3 linked regions of the Drosophila melanogaster genome follow. The protein of the gene in region 2 interacts with the protein of the main gene of each other region in a pairwise test. Each region holds a gene or a part of one and is shown on either strand. Other genes may lie near its edges.

The links. The genes of interacting proteins can lie anywhere in the genome.
Region 1: the proteins of Cpr50Ca (region 2) and CG11322 interact in a two-hybrid assay, tested with the Drosophila melanogaster proteins (one large-scale study listed by BioGRID).
Region 3: the proteins of Cpr50Ca (region 2) and Mdr49 interact in a two-hybrid assay, tested with the Drosophila melanogaster proteins (one large-scale study listed by BioGRID).

What each region holds. Positions count from the first base shown.
Region 1 is NT_033779.5:6,757,324-6,761,544, reverse strand, and holds CG11322 (uncharacterized protein), read left to right. Parts: upstream 1-1,916; 5' UTR 1,917-2,050; coding exon 2,051-3,493; 3' UTR 3,494-3,681; downstream 3,682-4,221. Other genes in the region: LUBEL (linear ubiquitin E3 ligase), read left to right, coding at 1-309, 376-747, 817-985, 1,320-1,355.
Region 2 is NT_033778.4:13,768,300-13,772,951, forward strand, and holds the start of Cpr50Ca (cuticular protein 50Ca), read left to right. Parts: upstream 1-1,615; 5' UTR 1,616-1,674; intron 1,675-2,466; 5' UTR 2,467-2,675; coding exon 2,676-2,717; intron 2,718-4,652.
Region 3 is NT_033778.4:12,940,308-12,948,167, reverse strand, and holds Mdr49 (multi drug resistance 49), read left to right. Parts: upstream 1-1,820; 5' UTR 1,821-1,992; intron 1,993-2,922; 5' UTR 2,923-2,980; coding exon 2,981-3,082; intron 3,083-3,147; coding exon 3,148-3,341; intron 3,342-3,400; coding exon 3,401-3,646; intron 3,647-3,779; exon of another isoform or gene 3,780-3,935; intron 3,936-4,029; coding exon 4,030-5,591; intron 5,592-5,766; coding exon 5,767-6,212; intron 6,213-6,315; coding exon 6,316-6,924; intron 6,925-6,994; coding exon 6,995-7,744; 3' UTR 7,745-7,845; downstream 7,846-7,860. Other genes in the region: Sans (scaffold protein containing ankyrin repeats and SAM domain), read right to left, coding at 7,851-7,860.

The DNA of each region.
Region 1 (4,221 bases), on a different chromosome or scaffold from region 2:
ACTGTTCCAGCGCAAGTTGCGCGATCGCTCGCTGCTGCAGGATCCCAACTTCAAGTGGTGCATCCAGTGCTCGTCCGGATTCTTCGCTCGGCCCAAGCAGAAGCGATTGATTTGTCCGGACTGTGGATCCGTTACCTGTGCCCAGTGCCGAAAGCCCTGGGAGCGCCAGCACGAGGGCAGTAGCTGCGAAGCTTATCTGGAATGGAAGCGCGAAAACGATCCCGAGCTGCAGGCCCAGGGTGTCCAGGAGCATTTGGCCCAAAACGGCATCGACTGTCCCAAGTGCAAGTTCCGATACTCGCTGGCCAGGTATGTTCAGATACAGAAATATCAGTATGTTGTATCTTTTACAAGTTCAATGTTCAACCTATACAGAGGCGGATGCATGCATTTTACCTGTACTCAGTGCAAATTCGAGTTCTGCTACGGATGTGCCCGACCCTTCATGATGGGTGCCAAGTGCACTGTGTCCACATACTGTGCCAAGCTCGGTCTCCATGCCCATCATCCGCGCAACTGCCTGTTCTACCTGAGGGATAAAATCCCCCTTCAGTTGCAGTTCCTGCTCAAGGAGCAAAACGTCAAATTCGACACGGAACCCATGCAGATCAAGGACGAGTCCAGCAGTTCGTCCAAGGCTCGTGCCCAGGCCCGCTGCCCGATCCCGCTGCAAAAGGAGACGCCGCAAGGACTAGTCGACACAGTGTGCAACACGGAAGTTCCTGACAAGCACGCTGGCATGTGTCGGTAAGTTTAATATCGGGAAATCCCCGAAAAATCATATTTTTCAACCAATATACTTCTATATCATTTAAGCACCCACTACGTAGAGTATTTGGCTGGCAAGGTTGCCAAGGCTGGCATCGATCCACTGCCCATCTTTGATCTGACGGACTGCGTCCAGGAGCTGCGAAGGCGAGGCATCGCTCTGCCGGAGAGAGGACCCTGGGACACCGATGAGATCTACAAGAACATGTGCTCCGAGGTAGGTGTTGGCTATCATCAGTTGATGGCTTAATTGATTTCCTTTTATTTCATTGGCCTTAATCGCGGAAATCGAGTTCCATGCGTTCCGGGGGCGATTTGTTTTTGCCGAATGATTCAGCGGCCGCTCCTGGCGATGGATCGATACCGAAAAATCCAAATAAAATGAAAACAAAATCGTTCAGCCGCTAACTAAATTTGCATGCCGTCTGACGTATTTCACACGCTTCTTAATTGATATTCGTTTTATTATTATTTAATTGTAAACAGTTTGGGCGGTCGAATCGATAATGTTTATAAATGTTCCAATCTCTCAATCTCGATCTTACTTTTAGGTAATCAAAAAGCATATACCACTGAAATCGGCATGAGCAGAATCTGAACAAGTGATGTTTTGGAAGCAGACGACTATTGCAATTCTTCACCAATATCTTTGATTTATGGCGGCACTTTTATAGACATTTTTATACACCCACCACCCCACCCACACTCACGAATCAAACTTCAGTGCTAGACAGTTCGTTAGACATTAGACATGGCATGTATACACCTTCATTGTACACCCACCCACTCATCGTTTATCCATCCAGAAACCTTTCCCATTTTGTTTAGTTACTAAGAGATGGAAAACAACAGACCGAATATCCGCACGTGTAATAGAGTGCATCCAATAAACGGCGGCATATGTGAAAATCCAATCCAATCGTTTCTAGAATTTATTTTAAGCTTTTCAGCCTGTGCCTAACAATGTGCAGATGGTTAGTTTGGAAAGTGTTGTTTGCTGTGGGCGGTTCCAGGACTTTCGAATCGATTTCGCATTTGAGATGTCCGCACAATCAAATACAAATCCGGACGACAGCGTGGTCAACCCAACCAAGGACTGCAGACCAAAGGCGCACAGGTAGCCTATGACTTAGCCATCAGTCCAGGCAATCAAACTAATTTCAAGTAATCCGTGCTCCAAACACCTCCGACTTTGGGAGCTGCACCAGAAATTCATCAAGGATACCTCTCCGATTTCTTCGATGATATGAACGACAGCAGTCGTAGTTCCATGGATACCGACATGGAAATACAGAAGTTGCCAGTGAAACGGCACTTGCCGGTGACCAAAGGCCATGGGTGTGTTAAAAATAAGTGCCGCCGAAATCTAGACGAGATGTCCATCCAACAGTTTTCCGACTCATCCTCTCAGTCGGAGGGCGATGGCGAGGAGGACTCCAATGATGCCGACGACGAGGAGTATCAGCAGCCCGAGTGGACGGGTCGCAAAAGGCCGCCGCTGGTCTATCTCGAGTTGGGCGATAAAATCATTATCGTTAGGAACGAGCCACAGCCCAACGTCAAGCTGGAAGACGATGTGCAACTTAAAACGAAGATGCACAAATTTTTGGGTCTGATACCATCACGCCGCAAGCTCTACAATCCTGCGGTGGTTTACGATATGAAGCCGGAGGATATTGAGAATATCAATTGTGTCGTCAATTCATCCCATGCGTCCGCAGAGCCATTTACTCCATCAGCCGAGCAACCAATTCGTCCGAAAACAATGATGACATCCACTTGGTCAAAGCTTAATTTGTCGAATATCGATGAACCGACCCCTGAGGAGAGCCAGGCTAAAAGCAAAAATGACTTTGAGCTCTGGTCCATTGCATTCTCCTTTGATCAGTGCACCCCGGACTTGCATAAGGAGCCCATTGATCTTATCGATTTACCCAACGAAGAGCAGTTGGCCGCCAACTGCCGACGTCACAAAAGCAGTGTGCCATGCCTGGAGCGGCATCCAAAGTTCTACGGATTCGTTCGTTCGCTCAGCCCTTCGATTTCGCTCAATATGTGCCATCCACTGGCGCTCACCTACAGGCAAAACAATTTCAAAATCTGCAAGGTGGCACTGGCCAAAGTGCTGTTCAACATCTTCAACCACGCGATCTTCCACTGTGGCCTTCAGGTGCCCATTGTTTGGAAGCACGCAATGCACACGCGATGCACATGCCAGCTGACCGTCGATGCCCATGGTAAGCGCAGAGCCAAGATTCTACTTCTGCGGAGTATAAAGACTACGGCGGAGCTAATCCGCTGCCTGCTGCACGAGATGTGCCACGTGGCGGCATTTGTGTTCAATCGGGAGTTGGGTCACGGCGACAATTGCCGCAGGTGGGCCTACCAGGCGAAGATGGCCCTGCCGGAGGCACCCACCATCGAGGACAACTGCATAGATAGCTTCAAGTACACCTGCACTATGTGCACCCGATGCTCCTACGGCGTGGCCGACTTGAGCATGCAGAACCTACGTTGCTACTACTGCCAGTTCGAGGTGAGCGTGAAGAACGTTTGGAAGTCAGAGATGTACGATTGGACCCGGTCAGATCCGACGATGACACCGTTCAAGTGCTTTATTTGGGACAGGTACTTGCAGCTGGGCGAGCAGGGAGCCAACACGCACTCCACGAATATGGCGTTGCTCAACGAGGAGTTCATGAGACTGAACTCCACAATGGATTAGAATGCAGCGACTTTGCTGCTGGCATAGAATTTTAAGTATATATTTTGTATAGGATAGGAGTGACTTAACCACAAAATCCCATTAGAATACTAATTCAAATCCCATAGTTTTGTTAACTTGTTAAATTATTGTTTCTTTGTTTCTCTTGTTTTCTGTTACCAGTTAAATAAAATACACAACTATTAAATGACTGCATACTTTTGAGCTATTCTGATGAGTATGCTGTGAGTATCTGGAAAGTCGTATATCCACAGAGACTTATTATTATATTCATCTCCTTGGCCGCTTGTGATATTGCCAAAAAGGCAAATGCGAGCCATAAATTAAGTCCCGAGACGAAAAGCAAAGGCACAAGCACAACAACCAGATGAGCGAAAAAAAGCAATACAGTAAGTGGGGGATATTCAGATACAAATTCAAATTCAGATTCAGATACGCCAAGTTACTCGGTGGAGAACAGGGAAGGCGATGGGACGATGGTGGTGGCATCGTAAAAACCTATTTTCGTAGCGATTGAAATGAATTTATGCGCGCGGCACAACATGTTTTGATATTCGGACAGTTTTACACCAATAACAACTAATTAAATGGGATAAATTGTATATTTATTGATCCATAAACGATCGTCTCGTCCTAAAAGTTTTGCTTCTGGCTTTGAACTCAAACCCGAACTGCAACACTCACATACGCGGTTTTAAGTTTTTGATTTTCAGTTTTCGAGTTCGGTA
Region 2 (4,652 bases):
CCACATGGGGGTTTCCGGCCGGAGGGAGCGGCTCCTCCAACTTCTGGCGCATCTTCGGTGTCTGAATTTATTACGAGATTGCAAATCTCCACCGCGATTACAGCAATTATGTGGCTTTCGGTAGGAGGTTGGCACATTGCCCGAGGAACGTGCCCAGAGGTGTGGAATTAAGACTCTCGGCGGAAGGGGTAAAGAAAGTGATGTCGAAAGCTCTGGTCATGAAAAAGAAACGATTTTATAAAATTGATAAAAATTATATGTATTCATTAGTAAGCTGGGAATATTACCCCCCCCCCCCCCTTGCTTAAATATTAAGTATACGCCCCTGGTCGCTTACATGGCTCTCCTCTAATAACTCAATTTCAACACCAGCAAAAACAAATGTGAAAGTGCCAAAAGCCGCCTCCCCCCCTCTCTCTCTCACTCTCTTTCCCGTGGTAACCACCAATCATAGCCAAAAATCCCCAATCAGCTCAGCATCTGGCCCAGGTTTCGATGCACTCGAACAGATAGTCCGACCTCGCCACTCTAAGCCGCTTTAAAGTCCCACCATGGGCTGCAATAAAATAATATAAAATGAAATAAAGATAATTTGTCAGCTACTTCATTTGCGGCAGCGCGTGCGTGACTCGCGGTTGCCTGTTGCATAATATCTGCAGTTGAACTTTCCCAGGGGTTAGCACTCTCTTACCCACCAGTCACCACATCACACCAACCAAGGGGTATAAGTTCTATAAATCAAATATAAATATCAATATCAAACTTATAAATATATAAGTTCCTATAAATCACATAATCAGGCTGGGCCAAGCCTTATAGGAAATGCGTGGCAGTGCATTTCACTTGTTGCCATTAATAAATTAATTATACAACCATGACGGCACTGAGCTCAGTTTTATCCCCAGACGCACGCACTCTAAGCCCTCGTAAAAAATAAAGAAAAATGCACACAGATGGTAGGAAAACTTGTACATTTCGTTGTCATCAGCACAGCAACAGCGCATATTGTGCAAATGTTGATGGTCAAAAGTTGGCTAACGCCTTGGCCAAAGCCATGGCCAAAAAAGCAGCTCGAAATGCAGCCAGCTAAAAGACAAATATCAAGTGAGTGGTGAGGTTTTCAATTTTCAAAAGTCGAAAAAGAAATGCTCTGTTTGAAGAATATATATATCAAATATAAAGACAACTTTAATAAACTCTTAATCATTGGAATTTATAAAAAATGTAACAATTAATATAGGTAAAATCATTTTTGGCATCGTAGCACCTGTCTAATTTCCATTTATCCCCACAGATTTGGAATGCAAATGAATTTCCCCGAATAAATTGCAAATTCGACTTCCTTCTGAGCGTTGCAAATTTAATCAGCAGCTTATTATGCCCCACACATAAAAAAATAAAATTCAAAAAAAAAAGAAGGAGGAGAAAAAATATGGAAAATGCAACAGCAATACGCCAGACATGGCCGAGTCTTTTCGGCAAAGGCAAAGGAATGGAAATGGAAAATGGGAAAAGCGAGGCAGCGAAAAGCGAGCCAACAACAAACCGGCTGTCTCCGTGAAAACTGCGCGGCCCCGAACACACACAAAACTCAAGTGGCGCGAAAATTCGAGGCACAGTTGCAACAGCAGCGCGCAAGCGTGCGGTTTTCCTCCACAGTTTTTCCAGCCAAAAGTAAACAAGGCAAAGCGAAACGAAACGAAACGAAAACTCAAATTAAAAGTCGCATTAAATAAATGAGAAACGAACGAGGACTGCGACGAGCAAGTTTAAACAAAGCTCAAAGACAAAGTTGAATGAATATAGTCAAAGTTTGCTTTTCTCCGCAAAGGATATGAGAAAATCATTTTGTAAAAAAAAAAAAAATATAAAGAGCTTGCATTACATTTAACCAAAGTGCTGGCTAACAAGGATATAATATACCTTAAAATAAATTAAATCAAAAAAATATAAACGCATCAAGTTAAACGTCGAGCAAATTAATGAATATTTTACTGAATGACAAAAGTGAAACTTATAAGTGAAACATCTAAGGACGAATAACGAAAACGATTAGTTAGATAGTTAAATTTGTTAAATTAGATTTTATGGTCTTGTTTTATCTCAAAAATCTCTTAGTTACTAATGAAAAAGATTTTGGTAAAGAATATAAGATCAGAAATAATTCTCATTAAACATAATTCATTCATTTGTCATTCATTTGATTTTCTAAGAACAGGAATTTTTGAAATCGCAGGATACTATTTTTCTGCCTTCATAGTTTTAAAAAGTACTCATTTAACACAGCCTTTGCAGATGTGTCATCTGTTAAAGTACCATATAATGATTTTTGTTTTACTAATTTGTTAATTATGATGTTTCATAATTATGGGGAAATGTTTAAAACAGTTAATATGAGAATTTGAAAAGCACTTTTCGCAATTAGCTGCTGTGATAGTTAACCAAACTGAACGAATACTTTTCCAGGTCCGACAAACAAACAATAAGGTTCAACGCTGAACAAACTCATTTACAATTTGTATTTAAAATACCAAGACGGCGAAAAACAGCGTGGGAGAATAACAGAAATTTCAACAACAATTACAAATTGAGCTGCCACTTTTGTGGAAACGCGAAAAGTGCAACGTGCAACTTGACGCCTCATTTGCCCGAACTTCCGCCGACATCCAAGGAAAATGGAAATGGCTATCTGCGGCGGTGGCATCCCCACCTTAATGGTAAGTACATGGGGTCGGTTCGTTTCGGGTCGGGTTCATCATTCTGAAATTTTAATATAAATAACCGACAACTGCAAGGGCCATCGAGGCGTGAAAACAACAAGCGCCAGTGGAGAGACTTCGAGCGAAATTTCTGGGCGTGGGCCTGGGAAAAGTGTCGGCCTTCGATGCAGCGATTTTCATTTTCTGGCCAGGAAATGGACGCGGCCAGTCACTGCATATGGCGGGCTTCTTCTCATTTTCCTGGCGCACGCACATTTCGCAAGCAATTTATTTTCATTGCACTTGAACTTCAATTAGCCCGGAAACCAGCGAATACTGGCCAGACTTCGTTTAATTACCAGGCATTAAAATCATAAAGCGTATTCCAAAGTATCTTTGCTCAAAAATTCGTTATGCAACTGGCATTGATTGTTTGTGCTTTTTGGCCAAAACGCTCTCCATTTTATGACCCCGGTCTTTATGAAGGCCCGCTGTGGTTATCTAACCGAATCGACATTGGAATCCATATCCAACTGCCGGGACGAAAGGAAAATGCACCAGCAGCATTTGCAATCGAAACTGGAAATTTGCAATTTAAGTGGATGGAAAAAAAAAAAAAAAAGTTTGCGACCATTGCTGGCATTTCTTTTCAGCCAAGTTTCCTTGTGGCCCAGGAAGCACTCGTACCCCCAGCACTTTCTAGACCCGTAAAGTCTTTTATGTGCATTGAACTTGACTTTGCCGCCGGTTTTTGGCCAGGGCAAAAAAGACCAAACTGGTTCTAACTGCCACGGCCACTGCAGTTGGTAACTACCCACGTTGCACCACCCACATCTCACTGCCACATTAACAATTAGCCCAAGCTGTGCCTTTTGCCTGCCTGCTACCATTTCTTCTGCTGTCTCGACTCGCTCTCCGTCTTGGTCTTGCTCTTGGTCTGGAACTTAGTCTTGGCCCTGGGTCTTGGCCCACTCCACTCCACACCATACCACTCGTCTGGGTGGCACGTTTTTCCGGCTTGTTGCATACAACAAGAGACGATGCCGTAAGCGCATATTGCAGCCAACAATTAAACAAACTTGTGGCCAAACAGCAATTACAGAAACCATTTAATGAAGCAACCTGCTCGACATGAAAGAAAGCGAACGAGAACAATAAAGTCCAGAGGGAATGTGTTTGTATTGATTGGGTTAAAGACATGGAACTTTAGAGAAAAAATTATAAATAAATAAAAACATACACGAATCCAAAACTTAATCAAATCAAACAAAAGATAGTGATTTAGTTTATATTAACCCAAAACGAATTTCCACAAAATAAATGATTTTTCTAAAACTAATTGAATGCTGATACAAAAAACACCTTCTGTTTGCCCACTGAGATGTTGATTCCCTTGTAACTAAGAAGCCAGAAGATGATCAAAACTAATTGAATTGCTTTTACAAGTTTATCACCTCCATGCCATGCTGACTTTTATTATTGGTTATTTGTCTTGAAAAAATAAACCGAGTACAATAAAAGCCAGTTCAGCACTTTTAAACTGCCAGTACAATAAATACAACTTGTAAACAGCTGTAAAACTCGAAAGCCAAATGGTAAAAACGTAATTTAATCAAACTTTAGCTCTCGCAGCTCTCGCTGCAAATATTACAGTTTCAATTTCCCAAATAATGTCAAAACAAAAGAAAACTTTTAAAACGCCATGCAGATAGTAGTATTAGAAGTAGGAGTAGAAGTTGAAGTAGTAGTTTCGCTCCTTTTGCCTCTCTTAGCGGATCGTAAAGGAATTGTTAACTAGTTTTCGCAGCACTTCTAATGCCATAAAATCCGACTGAGCAAACTGAAACGAACGCAAATAGCAACAATTTTTATCGCTTCTTTGCATTGAGTTTTCAAACGAATCTAGCGCGTGTCCCATCTGAAATGAAAAGACACTTTTTCCGGGCGAAAAAA
Region 3 (7,860 bases), 830 kb from region 2:
TTAGAAGATGGTAAGTAAACGATTTGCGGGCACGAGAGTTTAAGGTCAAAATAATATTGTATCACGTAGAATAGTAAACTTGGCTTAATGTGCGGAATTAAAAACGCTGTATTCCCAGCTTAGCAAAGAACCCCATATGCTTGAAAACCTCCTTGAACCCACACGGGTTTTAACGATTAGACAAATCTGGCATTTCCCACAACTATCCGTTATTGGCCAACACAAGATTTCTTAAACGATTCTGGTTTTTCGACGTCAACTCGGCGCACAAGATGAAAGAGAAGAAAGAGAAAGGCGAAACAGGTAAGAGTAAATATGAGCGAATGCGTCATAATGCGCACTCTGGAAATACACCGTCAGAAAAACTTGAATATTTAAACTTGAATTTAAACTCACATTCTACATATTTTAATATTTTCACGCTTTTAATGTGTTTTTTTAATGATATGCACTTTAAGCAATTAATTTTTTAAATTAAACAAATTTCAGTTCTTTATTAAACTTATTACTTCGAAACCCATTAACATAATTAATGTAATTTTAACAGAAATATATATTGTCAGACCAAAAATGCATTGTTGATACGAAGTAATGGAAGCTCATTAAATATTAAAAAATGAACCCAAAAGTCAGATCAAAGATTGTGAAAATAAGCAACTCGCCACTGAGTAAATCAACAAATACTTTCGCCAATATTTGATATACACCTTTGTTCAAGTTCTATCCCACGTCTATAAATATGAACGAATTTTTAGAACACTAATCTGGTTTGCCGTAGATAACATAGTCGCATTGGACTAGGTCCGTAACCAAGAGAACATTTGAATGGAAACGATTTTAAACGCCTTCCAAAATAATTTCGCCATATGATGCCAAATGGTTGAAAACACCATACCTGGCCGCAATTATCTATTGGACTAACCTTGTCTAAATTGGCCACAATTCGGCTTATCTGACTTGCTAAATAACATTTTGATAGCACACGTATATACATATATTTTATTTTAGTGCCGTTATGGGCAATTCGAGTGCTTACAACTGTCGATTAGATTGCAGATGAGATCCCTTTGGAAATTTTTTGTTTTCCAAATCGTTTTGCTTGGAGACACTACCCTCTTTGAAATACTTTTCAACTGAAATGGTGAAATACCGACAAACCATTGCAAAAGAAGTTTACCATGCCCCACGATATCTCAAAATCTGAAAACAACATTATTTGTATTTTATCACACCAAGTAGTGTGATATATTTGGATTGGGGAAGTCGCCGCTGGGCAGCGTAAGAATGCCGCTACCACGCTTAAGCATCCAGGTATTTCACGGCACACCTGAGCGGCGGTATGAATCATGACTTTCGCACGCGATACAGATACAGATTTCCTCTCGGTTAGTCCCCCGATCTGGCGAATTCAGCTTAAAATCTTTTGCGCGGGGAAAACCATGCGCGCAAATGGATTACGCTTAGTCCGTTTTTGTTTTGGCCAAAAAAGACCCGACTCCACTGCATCTATGGACACGCTGGGTCAGTAAACAAATACCGGTTACGAGAGACTGATAACAAACTTACGCCGAATCGATGGTATGTACGTACAACATAACTGTCTAATCAATCTAATCTGCATCGTCTTTATGGCTCTGTTTTGGTTACAGGACCAGCGACTAGGAACCAGTATTTCCCGCCGCCTGGACGAGTGCGAGGAACAGGCGGGTTGCCAGGCGGGAATCCCGATTAGTTATACGATCGACTTTGTTGCCGCTCGAGAACCGAGAGCCGAGATTCTGGCACCGAGCTGTCGTCGCAACCATTCGATTTTGTGTTAGTCCAGTTCAGATCGCGCACTCGTCGGCTGCAGACGTCTTCTTGAGCACTTCCCAGTGCCAATAGAGCCAGAGGAAATATAGATATATGTATATATATACATATATAAAGTCTTCAGACGATCGCGAGTTTCATCAGTTTGCCAAGTGTCCACGGAAGATCGGCACGTGCTAAGTAAGTGCCATGTAGCGCAAGTGAATTTCCATTAATTGATTCAGTTTCTCGATGCATTCGATGAGTGCGTTTCGTCGACAAGTGAATAAGATTGAATCGAATCTGAGTAGCTGAGGAGTGGGCTATTATACCCAGTTCCTTGGATCTTGAGTGCAAGCCGTTCGCAATTGACAATCGCAATCAACACACAAATATCTCGCTTTCCAATTGCGCTTAATTTATTAATTTATGTACGCTTGTTTTTCATTCGCGCAATCGAGCTAATTTCCTTAAATTGACTTGGGAAAATTGTTTTTGCTGATTAATCAGCCCTTTGCTCTGCGTCGAATAATTTCTACAATATATTTTATGTAACACGTAAAGATACATTAATTATCACACACTTAAGCGTCATAATTGCTACCATTTTTATCAACATTAGTTATTTTAATGGTATTATAATTACGTGTTTCCAAGATGTTGAGATACATTGATTTCCATTTAATTAAGTGCAAGAAAAGTGCAAGTATTTCTTGTTAAGAAAAAACGAATGTCAAACTATTATTATAAAATAGTGGCAATGCAAGAAGATAAAGTTCTAGAAATTTATTTCATAACATTATGTTAAATCTGAGCCTGAATTCTTTGAAGAGTTGAAATATTTTTTAAAATTCAATCATACTTTTGTTAATCTCCCCAGTAACTTTCCTGGGATAACATGTTTGCCTTAAGAGCACTGAACTCTTTTTGTGAATTAGAATTAAGAAGATAGTAATTAGGCTTTTATAGTCGAGTTTGCAGATAAAAAGCGAGAGCAACTGGGTGTGTTTGTGGTTCTCGTGGTTAAGTTCTTTAATTGATACACTCTAAATTATAGACCCCAATTTAGAGCTTAGATATCAGGCCAGCACACAAAATGTTGTGTTTACTAATTGTTAACTTTGTTCTTAGGCTTAATTGCTATAGCGAGTATAGAGATACTTTACTGCAGTATCGCCTCATAGACACAATGGTCAAGAAGGAGGAATCACGGCTGCCACAAGCTGGTGACTTTCAGCTTAAGGAAGGATCAGTCGTGGATGCGACCCGAAAGTACAGTTACTTTGATCTGGTGAGTGGTGACTCCGCATCAGCATCGTTATAGGTTCTATATCCTTTTTGGTCTCGCCTCTATAGTTCAGATACTCAACCAGATGCGAGCGCTTCCTGTTGGTAGTCAGTCTGCTGGTGGCCACCGCTGCGTCCGCATTTATTCCCTACTTCATGATTATCTACGGAGAGTTCACATCCCTGCTCGTGGACCGAACAGTCGGCGTGGGCACATCCTCGCCAGCCTTTGCTCTGCCCATGTTTGGTGGCGGTCAGCAATTGTAAGTTCTTAATCATAAGATAGTCCAGGATTATGTTATAACGTCAAATTTTCGTTCAGGACAAATGCCAGCAAAGAGGAGAACAACCAGGCGATCATTGATGATGCGACTGCCTTTGGCATTGGCAGTCTGGTGGGATCTGTGGCCATGTTCCTGCTCATCACACTGGCCATCGACTTGGCCAACCGGATAGCCCTCAACCAAATCGATCGCATCCGAAAGCTCTTCCTGGAGGCAATGCTGCGACAGGACATCGCCTGGTACGACACCAGTTCGGGCTCCAACTTCGCCAGCAAAATGACAGAGTGAGTTTCGTCTCAAATAATATAATTATTAATAAGCGTATAATCCGAATCTTATTGCATTAAACAAATTATAAAAACCATATCAATTGAATATTCATTAGCAGAGCTAGAAAATTACGCAATCATAGTAGCAATCGGACTTATTAACATCAATATGGTTTAAATATGATTGAAACAATTTATCACTATCGCGATTCCCAGACAATTTTAGGAAGCCACCTGAAAGTTTTTAAATAAATTAAATATCTCATGCCAGTGACGTGAACTTTTTTTGTGCGAATTTTACAATGTATTTATTCAAATTCCTTTTAATTCTAGAATTAAATTCTAAAGACTTTAGAGTATTTTTATAACTCCTCGATTTTTTTCTTTGGAATTTGCAGAGACCTGGACAAACTGAAGGAAGGCATTGGCGAGAAAATAGTGATTGTGGTATTCCTGATCATGACCTTTGTGATTGGAATAGTGTCTGCTTTCGTCTACGGATGGAAGCTCACCCTGGTCGTTCTGAGTTGTGTGCCCTTCATCATTGCAGCCACCAGTGTGGTGGCTCGACTCCAGGGATCGCTGGCCGAGAAGGAGCTGAAGTCCTACTCCGATGCAGCCAACGTGGTCGAGGAGGTATTCAGTGGAATTCGCACAGTGTTCGCATTCAGTGGTCAGGAGAAGGAAAAGGAACGCTTTGGCAAGCTGCTCATTCCCGCAGAGAATACGGGTCGCAAGAAGGGTCTATACTCGGGCATGGGAAACGCACTGTCCTGGCTGATCATCTACCTGTGCATGGCTCTTGCCATCTGGTATGGTGTGACGCTCATTCTGGACGAGCGTGATCTTCCCGATCGCGTTTATACTCCGGCCGTTCTGGTCATTGTCCTGTTCGCCGTGATCATGGGTGCCCAGAATCTCGGTTTTGCCTCTCCACACGTGGAAGCCATTGCTGTGGCCACGGCAGCTGGCCAGACCCTGTTCAACATCATCGATCGTCCGTCGCAGGTGGATCCAATGGACGAGAAGGGAAACAGGCCGGAGAATACCGCTGGACACATTCGTTTCGAGGGCATACGCTTCCGTTACCCCGCCCGTCCGGATGTGGAGATCCTCAAGGGTCTGACCGTCGATGTGCTTCCGGGTCAGACGGTGGCCTTCGTGGGCGCATCTGGGTGTGGCAAGAGCACCCTCATCCAACTGATGCAGCGGTTCTACGACCCCGAAGCGGGCAGTGTCAAACTGGATGGACGGGATCTTCGAACACTGAATGTGGGCTGGTTGCGTTCGCAGATCGGAGTGGTGGGCCAGGAACCGGTTCTCTTCGCCACCACCATTGGCGAGAATATCCGATACGGAAGACCATCGGCCACTCAGGCGGATATAGAGAAGGCGGCGCGAGCGGCCAACTGTCATGATTTCATCACTCGCCTACCCAAGGGCTACGACACCCAGGTGGGCGAGAAGGGCGCTCAGATTTCTGGTGGCCAGAAGCAGCGGATTGCCATTGCCCGGGCTTTGGTTCGACAGCCCCAAGTGCTTCTTCTCGACGAGGCCACCTCTGCCCTGGATCCCACCTCTGAGAAGCGGGTGCAAAGTGCCCTAGAACTGGCCAGCCAGGGACCAACCACTCTAGTTGTGGCCCACCGACTGTCCACCATCACCAATGCCGACAAGATTGTCTTCCTCAAGGACGGTGTAGTGGCGGAGCAGGGTACGCACGAGGAGCTCATGGAGCGACGTGGTCTCTACTGCGAACTGGTGAGCATCACCCAGCGGAAGGAGGCCACGGAGGCGGACGAGGGAGCGGTTGCCGGGCGACCTCTGCAGAAGTCGCAGAACCTGTCTGACGAGGAAACCGATGATGACGAGGAAGATGAAGAGGAGGACGAAGAGCCGGAGCTGCAGACTTCGGGCAGCTCCAGGGACAGCGGATTCAGAGCCAGCACGCGACGCAAGCGTAAGTACCAGAAGTTGGAATATTTAATGCTTTTACTAACCCAAGTACCAAGACTTAAATTCGATATTAAGTAAAGAAAATAAGTAATAAAAACAAATGCAAAATTAAAAGTTCTATAAAATCGTGCACTATATTATATATATTAACTTTAAAATCCAATTCAAATAATTAACAGGTCGCTCGCAGCGTCGCAAGAAGAAGAAGGACAAGGAAGTGGTATCCAAGGTGTCCTTCACTCAACTAATGAAGCTTAATTCTCCGGAGTGGCGTTTCATTGTCGTCGGAGGCATTGCATCCGTAATGCATGGCGCCACATTCCCGCTTTGGGGTCTCTTCTTTGGCGACTTCTTTGGAATCCTCTCGGACGGTGACGATGACGTTGTGCGAGCCGAGGTCCTGAAAATCTCCATGATCTTTGTGGGCATTGGCTTGATGGCCGGATTGGGCAACATGCTCCAGACCTACATGTTCACAACGGCCGGCGTGAAGATGACAACGCGATTGCGTAAAAGGGCTTTTGGAACGATTATTGGTCAGGATATTGCCTACTTCGATGACGAGCGAAATTCAGTGGGAGCACTGTGCTCCCGGCTGGCCAGCGATTGTTCCAACGTTCAGGGTGTAAGTTTCAAGATTGAGGGTAACCATGCAGAAGCACTGCTATTCCAAGCTACTGCTTTTTACTATATATGTTTAAATATCTAACGCTTTTTCCTTATTCCAGGCAACCGGAGCTCGTGTGGGCACAATGCTCCAGGCCGTGGCCACTCTTGTGGTTGGAATGGTCGTCGGTTTCGTTTTCTCCTGGCAACAGACGCTCCTCACACTGGTCACCCTGCCCCTGGTCTGTTTGTCCGTCTACTTGGAGGGCCGTTTTATCATGAAGAGCGCCCAGAAGGCTAAGGCGTCGATCGAGGAGGCTTCTCAAGTGGCAGTCGAAGCTATTACCAATATCCGAACGGTCAATGGTCTTTGCCTAGAGCGCCAGGTCTTGGATCAATACGTTCAGCAGATCGATCGCGTGGATATCGCCTGCAGGCGTAAGGTTCGCTTCCGTGGTCTGGTTTTCGCTTTGGGACAGGCGGCTCCTTTCCTGGCTTACGGCATCTCCATGTACTATGGTGGTATTCTGGTGGCAGAGGAGCGAATGAACTATGAGGACATCATCAAGGTGGCCGAGGCTCTGATCTTTGGCTCCTGGATGTTGGGACAGGCCCTGGCCTACGCGCCAAATGTAAACGATGCTATTCTGTCCGCCGGACGCCTAATGGATCTCTTCAAGCGCACCTCAACGCAGCCCAATCCGCCACAGAGTCCCTACAATACAGTTGAGGTAAGTCAACATTTCGCCAATCGAAACCGTACATTATGTTGGAAACTCAAATTTGATTGTTTTTTTTTAGAAATCCGAGGGAGACATTGTCTATGAAAACGTGGGCTTCGAATATCCCACCAGGAAGGGCACTCCCATTCTGCAGGGCCTAAATCTCACCATCAAGAAATCGACGACGGTTGCTCTGGTGGGTCCATCTGGTTCCGGCAAGTCCACCTGCGTGCAACTGCTGCTTCGCTACTACGATCCCGTATCGGGATCCGTGAATCTGAGCGGAGTGCCGAGCACGGAATTCCCGTTGGACACACTGCGCTCCAAGCTGGGCCTGGTCTCGCAGGAACCCGTGCTCTTCGATCGCACCATTGCCGAGAACATAGCTTATGGCAACAATTTCCGTGACGATGTGTCCATGCAGGAGATTATTGAGGCGGCCAAGAAGTCGAATATCCACAACTTTATAAGTGCTTTGCCCCAAGGCTACGACACCCGACTGGGCAAGACATCGCAGCTCTCTGGAGGTCAGAAGCAGCGCATCGCCATCGCTCGAGCCCTGGTTAGAAACCCGAAGATACTCATCCTGGACGAGGCCACCTCTGCGCTGGACTTGGAGAGCGAGAAGGTGGTGCAACAGGCGCTGGATGAGGCGAGATCAGGCCGCACATGCCTGACGATTGCGCATCGTCTGACCACCGTGCGGAATGCGGATCTCATCTGTGTGCTAAAACGCGGCGTGGTAGTGGAGCACGGCACCCACGATGAGTTGATGGCACTGAACAAAATCTACGCCAATCTCTATCTGATGCAACAGGTGTCGGGCTAACACAGCGAACTGGAGTGATAATTGTTAGGCTTTAATTTAGTATGTACACTAGGCTAATTGAACATGTTGAAGTATTACAAAAAAAATAGAATGATTAGGCCAACTACTACAGTCGA